Mus musculus: one gene and its partners. The protein of the gene in region 1 interacts with the protein of each later gene in a biochemical or structural test. Links are inferred from orthologs where the notes say so. Each region holds a gene or a part of one and is shown in the gene's direction. Other genes may lie near its edges.

Evidence for each region.
Region 2: the proteins of Smurf1 (region 1) and Pdlim7 are reported together in a solved structure, tested with the Homo sapiens proteins (2 studies listed by BioGRID, with this or other methods). The link is inferred for Mus musculus from reciprocal best matches to the Homo sapiens genes SMURF1 and PDLIM7.
Region 3: of the proteins of Smurf1 (region 1) and Smad5, one has a biochemical effect on the other in vitro, tested with the Homo sapiens proteins (3 studies listed by BioGRID, with this or other methods). The link is inferred for Mus musculus from reciprocal best matches to the Homo sapiens genes SMURF1 and SMAD5.

Annotation. Positions count from the first base shown.
Region 1 is NC_000071.6:144,962,935-144,967,113, reverse strand, and holds the start of Smurf1 (E3 ubiquitin-protein ligase SMURF1), read left to right. Parts: upstream 1-1,283; 5' UTR 1,284-1,558; coding exon 1,559-1,613; intron 1,614-4,179. UniProt on the Homo sapiens protein: E3 ubiquitin-protein ligase that acts as a negative regulator of BMP signaling pathway. Mediates ubiquitination and degradation of SMAD1 and SMAD5, 2 receptor-regulated SMADs specific for the BMP pathway.
Region 2 is NC_000079.6:55,510,625-55,514,818, reverse strand, and holds the start of Pdlim7 (PDZ and LIM domain protein 7), read left to right. Parts: upstream 1-1,372; 5' UTR 1,373-1,452; intron 1,453-2,400; 5' UTR 2,401-2,411; coding exon 2,412-2,507; intron 2,508-4,194. UniProt on the Homo sapiens protein: May function as a scaffold on which the coordinated assembly of proteins can occur. May play a role as an adapter that, via its PDZ domain, localizes LIM-binding proteins to actin filaments of both skeletal muscle and nonmuscle tissues.
Region 3 is NC_000079.6:56,723,459-56,727,071, forward strand, and holds part of Smad5 (mothers against decapentaplegic homolog 5), read left to right. Parts: 5' UTR 1-135; coding exon 136-538; intron 539-3,613. UniProt on the Homo sapiens protein: Transcriptional regulator that plays a role in various cellular processes including embryonic development, cell differentiation, angiogenesis and tissue homeostasis.

The DNA of each region.
Region 1 (4,179 bases):
GTAACAGAAATATCTAAAAAAAAGCCTCACAAAACTTAGCTTCTTGTGCTTGCACCATCGAACACCTTACCAATGGTGCTATTCTCCCAACACCAATCAAAGACTCCTAAATGGATTTATTCCAACCTAGGGTCTCGCTCTCAGCGACAACGGCTTAGAAATGGAAGCAGAGTTAGAGTCTGGATTAACCGTTGCCCATACACGATCCTATTCTTAAGATATTTTCCCTCCATTATTAAATAGTCTGGGCTGCACAGGCTCATAAAACCAAACTGCCTAGGACAAGAACAGGTACAAGCCTGTAATCCCTGCGCTCCGGAGGCTGAGTAGGGGGAATCACAGTTTTGAGGTCAGCCTCAGCTACAGATGAGCCCCTGTCTCCAAAGAGGGTGGTCAAACGCTGTGGGTAGCTGGTTCTAAGGAAGAACCATAGAGTCTGCCCATGAAGTGAATTAAGTTCAGGTCGGATGGGAGTTTGGTAAATATACGCAGCCTTTTCAAGAACCTTTTATTTCCTCTCTAGAATGCGTTACCATAGAGATTGGTTTGCTTGCTGGGGAAAGAAAGCCCGGCTTTTACTTTTTACCGGCCTGACACTCTGGGGGTTTGGGGGTGGGTTCATCAGAAGGCAGGGACTCGAAAACCCGACTGCTTACTTCTCTGGGTTAGTTCAGTTGCATGCAGGTTCCTATCCACAAAACCACCACCTCTCCATTTACATCCTTCATCTTGTTTAGCTGGTCCATATGCCGCACTTCCTCTGAGTCTAGCCACTTTGTCAATCGAATACACCAGTTGCACAGGGCACATCCGACACTCGATCACTGCGGGAAGTCTTCCCTTGGAACTTGCAGGATCTAGTGTGTACCCACGCGCGCACGCGCGCACGGTTCTTGGGGTTTCATGCAACACCCTGGCTTCCATCAGGAGCTTTGAAAAGTCCGACACTGAAGAAACAATCGGTTCCCCCAAATCGTCGCACAAGCAAATCAGTTGGTTCTGAGATTGTGACTAAGAACCAGCTCCGACTGCGCCGCTTGTGTGTGCGTGTGTGTCGTCTACGTGTGTGGGGCGGTGGTGGCCACGGTGGTGTCTGTTTCAAGGCTCCCCGCCGGCTGCAGGAACCTTGCAGCTCCCCCAGACCCCCTTGCGCGCGCCCAGGACAAGCGCGGTCCGCGTAGCGCCGTGCTCGGGCGCGCGCACGCACGCACACACGCAAGCGCGAGGCCGCGCAGGGCCGGGCCGGCAAGGCGGCGGGCGCGCGCAGCTCGGGAGGCGGCGGCGGAAGCAGCGAGGGCGGCGGGCGTCCGGCTGCGAGCGCGGCGGCTCCGGGCTGGGCCAGCCAGGGGCGGCTCCTGGCGGCGGCGCGGCCGAGCGCTCGGTTCTACGGTTCCAGCCCGTGGTCTCCGGCCCAACGCCTGCGCCGCGCACTCGGCGTCCCGGCTCGGACCCCGGCGCCCAGCCCGTGGCCGTAACCTTGAGGCGGCGGCGGGGCCGGGCCGGGCCGGGCTGGGGGGCGGCGGCACTGGATCCGAGGCCGGCCGGCCGCTGGCGGGAGATGTCGAACCCCGGGACCCGTAGGAACGGCTCCAGCATCAAGATCCGTCTGACAGGTAGGCACGACAGGGCCGCGGCCCTCGCGCCCCTAGACTGTCCCAGGGACCCTGCGGACTCCCGCCCCGCCCCCTCCCCCCCCCCCCCCCTTGCACCGGCCGTTGTCCCGGGACCGCTGCACCCCCTACGGCGTGCGCCCCTCGCTCGCGCTCCCGGCCCCGCCCCCCGGGTGCTCTGCAGGCGCCGCCCCTGCCGCCCCGTCCCCTCCCTCTGCATCAGGGCCCGCCCCTGGCACATCAGGACACGCCCCGCTGCGGCAGCCCCGCCCTCCCTCTGCATCAAGCCACGCCTCTCCGATCTGCAGACTCGCCCCCTTAACTAGGCTCAGCCCTCGACTCTTCTGCAGACTCCCCCTCCCCCTCACAGGCTCCACCCCTTGACTACTTTGTAGCTTTGGCGACCCGCCCTATGGCTCCTCCCTCTGCATCATTCCCCGCCCCCTGCTTGCTCTGCAGGCCCAGGCAGCTGCCTTTTCTGCATTAAGCCTGGCTTGCTGTTCATCCCTCTATCATAGATTCCACCCCTGTGGCTGATTCTCTTGGCCCCGCCTCTGGCTCCTTTCTCTTCAGGTTCTTGCCTATCCCCCCCTGCCCACACTACTCTATCTGCCCACACCTACCATCAGTTGCATATGGGCCACGCCCCCTAGCTTTCTCCCTCTGCCCCTAACTTTACCCTTCTGGATCAGGTCCCGCCCCCTAGCTCCTCCACTACAGGACTCCCCCCCCCCCTCTCCTTTCTGCCCCACACCTACCCTCAGCTGCATATAGGTACCACCCCTCGGGGCCCTCCACCGGTCCCCTCTAGTGTCCTCTCTTGACACCGCCCCAGCACCCTCTGATCCACACCTACCCCCCTGCCTGCTTTTCTTCAGGCCTTGTACATAGCCACACACCTTTCAACTTCATGTAGATCCCGCCCCCTCGCTGCACCTCCACCGCTCTTTCCACCCCTACCTCACATTTTCATCATCCATCTCTTCACTCTCATCCTCCTTCTACCTGCTGTTCCCCTCTAGGCCCACCCCTCACCATCCTCCCGCCTGTCCCCTCCCTCTTTTCCCTTGCAGCTTCTCATCACTTCATCTCTCTCTCCTTTCTTTCTTCCCACTCTCTCACATGAACATTATCTACCTTCTCCCTTCTCTCTCTGGGTCCCTTCGAATCATCCCACCCCCTACTCGTTTGCCTTGCTTCTCTTTGCTCTCCCACCGCCTCACCCACTCCTCATCTCCATCTCTCTAGTTTCCCCTCTCCTCTCTTGGCTCCGCCCCCTCTACTGTTTTCAGCCACGCCCCCGTCCCTGCTTGATCCCGCCCTCACTTATCTTTCAGTCCCGCCCACTCGCTTCTGTCTTACAGCCTCCACCCTTAAGTCGCAAATTCCTCAATCCTGTCTGGGACCAAACGTCTGTCTCCCAGTCTTGTTCTCACTTCCCCCACCTCATCAGTGGTCCAGACCTCTCCAGTCTAGTCCACTTCCGTTCTCCCCGAGGCCAGGCCACTTAGTACTCCAGAGACGAGTCCTTGGTTCCTACCTCCTCTGCAATGCCTTCACCCCTCGCCACATCCTTGAGTCCCCCCTCCCACACAAGCTGAGCTGTGGCAGCTGCTCTAGTGCAAGGCGCCTTGTTCCCCTCAGTCTTCAGAGGAATGTTCAGGTTTGCTAAGTGCTCTGTAGTGCCACCTTCAAAGGTGAGCGCAGAGCTTGCTGTGGGTCTGACAGCAGCAGGGCAGTTTGCATGCAGGCAAGGGGAGAGCTCTCTGTCATAGCTGTCCCTCTTCGTGGGTCCGGAGTCTGGACCACTGCCCTCAGCTTCCTCTTTCTTTCTCCCTCTCCTTTCTCTGCAGACCTTACCAGTGTGAATCCATCCCTAAGGCTGCATGCATGGCAGGGTTGGCAGAGGGCCTGCTTTGGGGCTTTCCAGCTCAGAAGAGGAAATACATCGTTAAGTCTGAGGCCTTGCAGGGAGTTCCCTGGATTTTTCTGTTCCAAGGCAGTGTGTTGGGGACTAAGACTTCTGCTTGTCCTTTCAGGCAGAGCCTTAGGGTAAGACCTGTGATCATGGTGGAAATTCTTGGAAAGTTTCTTGTGTTTAAGAAAAGATTGATAGTTTTCCCTGAAGATGTGGGAGCAGATAACGGTGTTTGCACTAGAACCCAGACCCCGGTCATATTGGCCATCTTTGCCTCTGGACAGATACTGGAAGAGACTTGCTCAGTGGACATGCGAAGGGCATGTGTTAGTTAGGAAGTTAGGTTCTTTGACAGTCATCTTTGGGAAAGTTTGCTGCTCATTGACACTGGGCTATGACTTCAGATATGATCCAGGTTGCTTTCAGCCTTCCCGCTAAAGTGACTGACTTGGGGAGTTTCAGTAGAAATGAGATCAGTGGCTTAATTGTGGAATTTGTGGCAGGTATCTATTAACAGATCCTGGTCAACTGGTTAATTTTGGTATTGCAGACTTGGAAAGTGTCAGAGTTTTGGATGGCTTTTGATGGGGAAGGACTAGGGATGGGTGTTAAAGCTCATGGTCTGAGAGCATCTGTGAGCGTCATCATAGG
Region 2 (4,194 bases), on another chromosome or scaffold:
TTCCCTGCATGCATATGTGCGCTATGTGTGCACCAGATGCCTAGAGAGGTCAGAAGAAGGCGCTGTATCTGGGGGGGTGGGGGTGGGAAGAAGAAGATAGAAATGAAGGAATGGAAAAAGAAAAAACCCCTGATCAACCTGGTGTAGACCAGCATTCCTGTCAGAACAGGATGAAACCTGAAGGCTGCAGCTGACTTAATTGAGGTCATAGAAGACCTGGAGAAAGAGTCAATAGTATAGGGGACGAGGGACAAAGAGGGAAACGTGATGGAGACAGAAGCATAGCAGATAGCTAAAGAGGGTGGTTTTGTTTTTTTGGTTTTTTTTTTTCTTCAGTTTTTCGAGACACGGTTTCTCTGTGTAGCCTTGGCTGTCCTGGAACTCACTACATAGATCAGTCAGTCTGGCCTTGAACTCAGAGACCCACCTGAAGAGGATTTCTTCAAGGATGACAACTCCCATAAGAATTTATGTACTTGGGACAATGATGGGGAAGAGGGGGTGTGATGATGGGGGGGCTGGGCAAGGGGAGGCTGTGCACCTCTCTACTGACTCAAACATTCAGGAGAGCTCAGCTTTTCCTTCTGCCCACCCTTGGCTAAGACCGAGGCTAAAGCAGGGGCTCTGAGAACACTCCGTGGCAGCCCCTTCCATCCCAACCGCATTGGAAGAACTGTGTACTCTGGACTGGGGTTAAATGGGAAACAATCCATTCCAATAGTGGTTCTGGGGGCTCTGGGTGGAAGTCCCATGGCTGTGGACTCTACTTACACCGTCAGACAACAAGTGGCGCTAAGCCCGCCCCCGTTGGCTCTTACTATGTATGTATTTACTTGTTTGTTATATCCTGCAAGCCTTTGGTTGGGTTTGGTGTTGAGGACTGAAACAAGGGCCTCCAGAGAGCTTAGCTACTGAGCTCCACCACTAAGCTACATCCCGAACACCAGGAAGCCTAACTTGAAACTACCCTATCTCGCTTCTCCAGTTCCTAGAGAATCTGAAATCTGATGATGCTGACAATATTGACCTCTAACAGTATCCCTAACAGAAAAGTGTTACCATGCCATTTTCCTCTACAAGAGAATACGGTGAGAGATCAATCAACTCTGGGGTTTCAAACGGATGCTTTCCTCCACTCCGCCAGTGGGAGGCGCAAGGGGCTTGGGCGAGAGCCTGAAGCGGGGCACAGGCTGGGCAGCGACCCGACTGGCGAGGGTAAGTGCCCGATCTCACCTTCCCTCTCCTGGAGACTCAGGGTTTTTTGACTGGGTGGGGCCTCCCACCGACCCCGGGATGTCCACTCGTTTGGCCTGGGGAGGGCGTGGCCTAGGGCTCCGCCCCCTTCCGCGGGCTCAAAAGGCGCGGCGTCCGCGGAGGCGGGGTCAGAGCGCAGCGGCGGATCCCATCGCTGCTCCCGGAGGCTGCCAGGCAGCGGCCCAGGCGGGCACTCAGGTACCGGCGTCCGCGAGGGGGTTCCTGGCCTGCACCCTACGGGGTCCTATGGCCCGCTGAGGCGCTGGGGAGGGCGTGGGTGGTCGTGAAGAGTGCCAGATTCCCTCGGCTGGCTTCGGCCGCAGCCTCCGCCCCCGCCTTCCTGCGGCGAAGTGGGGCTGATTGGCGCCTGCGCCACTGTGTGCGGTGGGGACGCGGCCAAGCGCGGGGCTGGGGCGGGAGACGAAGGGAAACAGAGTCATGTTGGCAAGGGAGCATCGTGCGTGGGTGGCACCACTTTCTCTGGCTTCCAGAAAGGATCCCCTCTCTGGCCGTGCGTAAGGGACACGGCCCCCGTCGCTCTCTACAGGACCAGTACCCCGTTTTTCTTTTCCCCTTTCAGAGACCAGGGGTCCCGCCCTGACCACCAGCAGCCTCGACCTGTCCCAAAATGGCTAGGACCCGCTCCAGCGTCCTCCTTCTCCACCCCTCCCCCTCATATCCCGAGCCCCTAACGTGCTCCCTCCTCGGGCTCTCTACAGTGTCAGCTTACACGCCTTATATAGTCCGAGCAGGCTCCGGCGGCGGCCTGCCTGCCGGGACCCGGGGAAGGAGGGGGAGCTGGCCCCTGACTCACCCCGCCACCCTCCTGAGATTCCAGGTTAGCTTGGGCAAAGCAGTGCCAATTAGCCCCACAGCCAACCCCTGGAAGAGAAAAGCACCTGAGCTCGGAGAGGCCTCTCCAGGCCCTCCCGGTGGCAGGGGGCAGGGTGGGGAACCACCTTGTCTGTTGTCTGTGAGAGGTCGGCCTGCCAGGAGCCCAGCCAAGCCAGCTGAGATACCTGCCTCCCAGTGCCTGTGTGTGTTGAGCGTCCGCCCGTGCCTTCTTGGTGCCTGGCCAACGCTAGTGCCCAGATCTGGACCTGCCTGCCAATTTGCATTGCAGACACTTTCTCTTCTTCCTCACAGGAGCAGGCACGATGGATTCCTTCAAGGTGGTGCTGGAAGGGCCAGCCCCTTGGGGCTTCCGTCTGCAAGGGGGCAAGGACTTCAATGTGCCCCTCTCTATCTCTCGGGTGAGCCTAGGTGGGGGAACAAACTCCCCAAGGGTTCTTGGGTGCTCAGGTTTCCAGAGGATCATGGGAGGAAACAGCAGGAGCAAGCCAGGACCAATAAGGCAGGAGTATCCAGGTCCAAATGGACACTTAACTACCAGGACTCCCAACTAGGTGGAGAGTAGAGAGGCACTCCCAACTTCCCTACTTTGACATGGTATTTGATGCTCTCCCACCAAGCCATCTGTGAGTGACAAGGGGGAGCCTGTTCCTTCGGTATTGGAGGCTGATGTCTCCAAGAAGTATCTTACTTAGCTAGGAGAGCAGCCTGTGGAGCCAGGTCCCCAGCAGGATGTAACTTTAATTCCAGTTATTCAAGGAATAGCAGTTGTCATCCTGTTTCCCCAAGTGACAGAGCTTGGTGGGCTGGAGGAGCCCATTCAGTAAGTCCACTGCAGAGCAAGGGTTTGAACTGAGGCACAAAAACGGCTTGTACTCTCTGTACGGTCAAGGCCAACGGGGAACTCTTCCCGCCCTGTGTGAGGACTGAGTCCCAGTCAGCTGGCTCTAGTCAGGCTGTGTGGCCTTTGACCCCAAGCCTAGGTGTAGTGAGGCTGGCCTGTAGAATTCCTGTTCCCATTCCTCAGTCCACCCTGGTGAGGAGGGTGGAGCTGGGAACTGACTCCTCCCTGAGGCAGGGGGATTACCTTATAAGCCCAAGAATGCGGGCCCCAGTTGGGATGGCCAGCAGTGGCTAGTCAACAGAGCCCAAGAGGGCTGGCCTAAGTCTAGGCCCCTTACCTGGCCCTCAGTCATTGGTGTCAGTAGGACTCAAAGCAAACTTTGTGCCCAGCCTTCCAGCTTGGTATCTCTGACTGGCCTAGGGGGTCAAAAAGGGGGCAGGGACTTCCTTCCCTGATATCCGCCTGCCTAGAGAGGCCCACCCAGCCACTGTGTAGGCAGGCAGCTGCTGGCAGGAAGCCCAGGGCAAGCCCAGCCCAAAGGGGCCTGAGAATTTCCAGGCACTGCCCAGCCTGAGTAGGGTATCAAGGCTGGTTCTCTCTGTGGGAGCCAGACATGGTGGACAGGGCAGGCAGGCATGCATGCTGTGTTCTTCCCAGAATCCTTCTCTGGAATTGCTTTGGAATCTGCTCCAACCAGCAGGATGACTAAGGGCTATCTAGACCCTTCCCCCACGCGTACATCCTACGGGTTTCTTCCTCCCCTCTGGGAAAGTGCTGGCCAGTGTAGTGTAGGTCTTAAGTTTTCTTCATTGGTAAGGAAGGCCCTGCAGATGTTGCCTTTTGGGGGCACTCTGCTGGCCCCTGCTGGCCCCTGGCCTCCTTTGTCAGCAGCTTTAACCTGTGGGTGGGGCCACCCGCTGAGTCCTGCCCTGGAGTGAGTTAGGCCCTGATGGGTGGGGTGGTCTTTTCTAAATTGGGCCAGCCCGCTATCCCTCCCCTGACCCCAGAGTGGAGGGAGGAAGGAGGGGCTAGGGCTGGCTGTGGGCCCAGGCCTGGAAGATGAGGTAATGTCTGGGATTTGGGGGTTGGGCTGCTCAGTGGAGCTCCCAGGCTGACTCACCCACACCCATAACACTGTCCAGTCCCCTGGCTTTTCCCCTCCTTAATCTCACTAGCCTCTCTTTCCCTGTGGTGCTCTGACCACCAGCTTAGCCCTCACATTTTGAGTACCCCACGAGAGAAGT
Region 3 (3,613 bases), on another chromosome or scaffold:
TGTCAAGTTAAATGTCACTCCCCGCCTCCACTTGGACTTTCTGCTTAAGACCTGCATGTGACTTTTCACCTGCGAGCCACGCTTTTGGTATCTACTGACTTTGATTACAGGAAAGTGTCTGAAGATTTGTATCAAATGACGTCAATGGCCAGCTTGTTTTCTTTCACTAGTCCAGCCGTGAAGCGATTGTTGGGCTGGAAACAAGGTGACGAGGAAGAGAAATGGGCAGAAAAGGCAGTGGATGCTTTAGTGAAAAAGCTGAAGAAGAAGAAGGGTGCTATGGAGGAGCTGGAGAAAGCCTTGAGCAGCCCAGGACAGCCAAGCAAGTGTGTCACGATCCCCAGGTCCTTGGATGGACGTCTGCAAGTTTCTCACAGGAAAGGCTTGCCCCATGTTATATATTGCCGTGTTTGGCGCTGGCCAGATTTGCAGAGCCATCACGAGCTAAAACCATTGGATATTTGTGAATTTCCTTTTGGATCTAAGCAAAAGGAAGTTTGTATCAATCCATACCACTATAAGAGAGTGGAGAGTCCAGGTAAGTTTCACTGTCCTAAGAATTAAAAGCATCAACTTGTCTCTTACCAATTGCATACAACTAGGCTTATTAGCGAAAAGGCTGTATCAACCTTTTTAAAGATTCCATTTTAGAAGGAATTCTAACTTTTCAATTTAGTTTTTGTGAACACCCCATGCCTGCTATTGATAAGCACTTTCTCTAGTAACACCCATTTCCTTTCTGCGGCCTACATGTTTCTGTCATGCTAAACACATGTTCCATATTCACACGAGGTCCTTCTCTCCTTCTCTCCTGTTTGTTTGGGAACTTTGTTGTCAAACACTGTCAATTTTTCTGGCTTTACAATTTTCTTCTCTTACATGTCTTTCACTAAATTATTTTTACTTTCTGCGCCTGTGTGTATGTGTATGTGTGTGTATGTGTGCGCGTGCATGTGCACACGCGCTTCTGTCATGGGACATATGGAGATCAGAGAACAAATCTTAGGAGTTGAGAGGGAGGCCTTTCCTTACTCATTTCTCATTCTTCAGTGCCTAGAATAATACTCTTTTCTAGGTACAGTGGTCAGTTTTTTGTTTTTGTGTTTGTTTTTGTTTTGTTTTGTTTTACAGTGAATTAATTACATAAGCTGATATCTTAGTCCTTTTATTGCTTCTTAGCAGACTATCACACAGACTGGATAAATTCACTCAACTGAAAAGAATTAAACGCAAAACCAACGTGTACCTCCCCAATTTGCATGTAATTAGGTTTACTAACTAAAAGGTTACTTTAGCCTTTGTTAAAGATTAACAATAGAAATCGTGGCGGGCAGAAAGTCCAGGATTAAGAGGCCAGAAGGTGAGGGTCTTGTAATAAACTCTCCTGTAGAACAGAAGAGTGGCATGGGTGTCAGTGAGCCGGAGAGGAGGGAGGGGAGCGAGGTGCACAAAGAAACCTACTTTTAGTTTTCCTTTGGTGCCAGCATCAAATCCAGTCTTGTGCATTTTAAGCAAGTACTCTACTGTGGAGCTACACCCTAGCCCAAGCAACCTGTTCGTGTAACAAAGAGTCCACCTCCACAATGACATCATCTCATTACTTCTGGTGAGAGCCCACCTCTCAACATTGCCACGTTTCCAGCTTGTGAACTTTGCAAGATAGATTCACCACAGCAGCTGAGATACAAGTTGGGTTCTTAGTTATTTTAGTTGCTACATAATAAATAGCCACACATGTGGTAGTTTAAACCCAAAACACATGTATTACCTTATATTTTCTGGGGGTCAGGCATTAGTCACTTTAGCAGCATCTTTTATGAGTTTCTAGTCAAGGTGTTGGTCAGGGCTGGGTTTACCTCGGGAGTCCAGATGTGACAAGATTTAGTTCCTGTACAGGGCATTGGATGCTTGCTGGTGATTGGCTGAAGACCGCCTTCATTTGCCTTTTTCCTCAGTAGGTCACCTGTATGTCTGCTCTTGCACTGCCATTCTCTCTCACAGTAGTAGATTTTCCTTCTACAGACTATCTCTGATAGCATGCATGCTTGTGATGATGGTAACGAGAGTTTTCCTGCAGGAGGGCAATGAATTCTTAAACGCTTCCCCATTACTTTGCCCATAATTCTGTTGGTTAGGAGCATGTCATAGGCCATATGCTGAAGGGGGGAGGTTTATCCAATTACATGACTACACAGACTCAGTCTTCCATACTGGAGGAATTGTAAGCCTTGAATAGTTGAATGTGGAGGCTAAAAGACTAGCAGTGACCTGAGTTATTGGTTAACATTAACCATGAACTTTAGAGCTGCTGCTCTATATGTGAGGTGGATCTCAGTTTCTTATGAAGCCCAAGGAGAGCTATAATATGAGGGAATTGAGGAAGAACAAGGCGGATTTAATGGAGGAATATTTTCTGAAAAATTCTCAAGCTAAGCATTTGCTAGCAATCCATCTAAGAATTGTATCTGTTCCTTCTCACTGTCAGCGTTTGAAGACAGTGGGCAGTAGAATGGTCTTCCTTTTAGTCCACCTTATCATTCCATATGAAGCACAGCAGTGGTTTGGAAATGCCTTGCTAGTTCACCTGATGGATAAATAAAACCTTCATGCTTGGCTGCAAGTCTACACCTCTCCTGGGGAAGGGGTAGCTTCACTCGGGAGGGCTAGCCTAGTTAGGGCTCCTTGACCAGCTAGGGACGGTAGGTGCCTCTCCTGGTCCTGTGCTAATAAAGGAGGTCGTTTGTGACTCTGGCTGCACTGAGCACTGGTGGACACGTGTGCTTTCCTAACTCTGGTACTCTCTTGTGTAGAGTTAGAGATGGAGAAAGCACCAACATCCCACAGCAATAAAGTCTATGTTTACTGTTGTAGACAAAGTAGCTAAGCCTTAACTTATACAAGAGTGCACAGAGTGGCATGAGGAAGTGTCACAGAGAGAAAAAGATAATAAAAGGTATGATGAGCATGAAAGTAAGGCCGGCGAGGTGTGCCAGTATCTGTTTGACTAGAAAGAATTATCTGTTGGCTGAGGTTATGAGTCCTGGGGTTATGATTTTACTATATATTTATTACCTGTAACCTCAGGCAAGTTAGAGAATCTTTCTGTGATTTAATGTCCTCTTCAGCTGGATAGTACGGCTACTAATGACCTTACAGAGTTGTCAGGGAGATTCGGTTAGTCAGTGTCTGTGTTAGTGCTTAAACATTATGTTCCCCAAGCTAGTTTGAAATGAAGGATCATTTCTCCAGAGAGATCCAAGTAGAGCATATGGGGAGTGGGCAGAGAGGAAGTGTTCACACACCCAGCTACTTAGAACTGAAAACTGCGAGAGTCATTCAAATAAACAGTGGAAAAGAACCACAGATGAAGTTCTACTTCGAGGGCTGATTTTGAAGGAAAGACCAGGCCTGTTGCTTCATTGAGGAGATGTTACCAGTTCAGTTCTCTAAGTGCTAAACATGAGCCCTCTTACTAACTTTGAGAGTGGTCAGCGTTGGGAATGTAGATTTCTCAGGGTTCCACGTACTGACCTCAACTCCCTCTGTAATCTTATATCTGTGTAGATCAGTGACTGTCTCTTCCTCTCCTGTCTGCCTCTCTTCACTCCTGGCA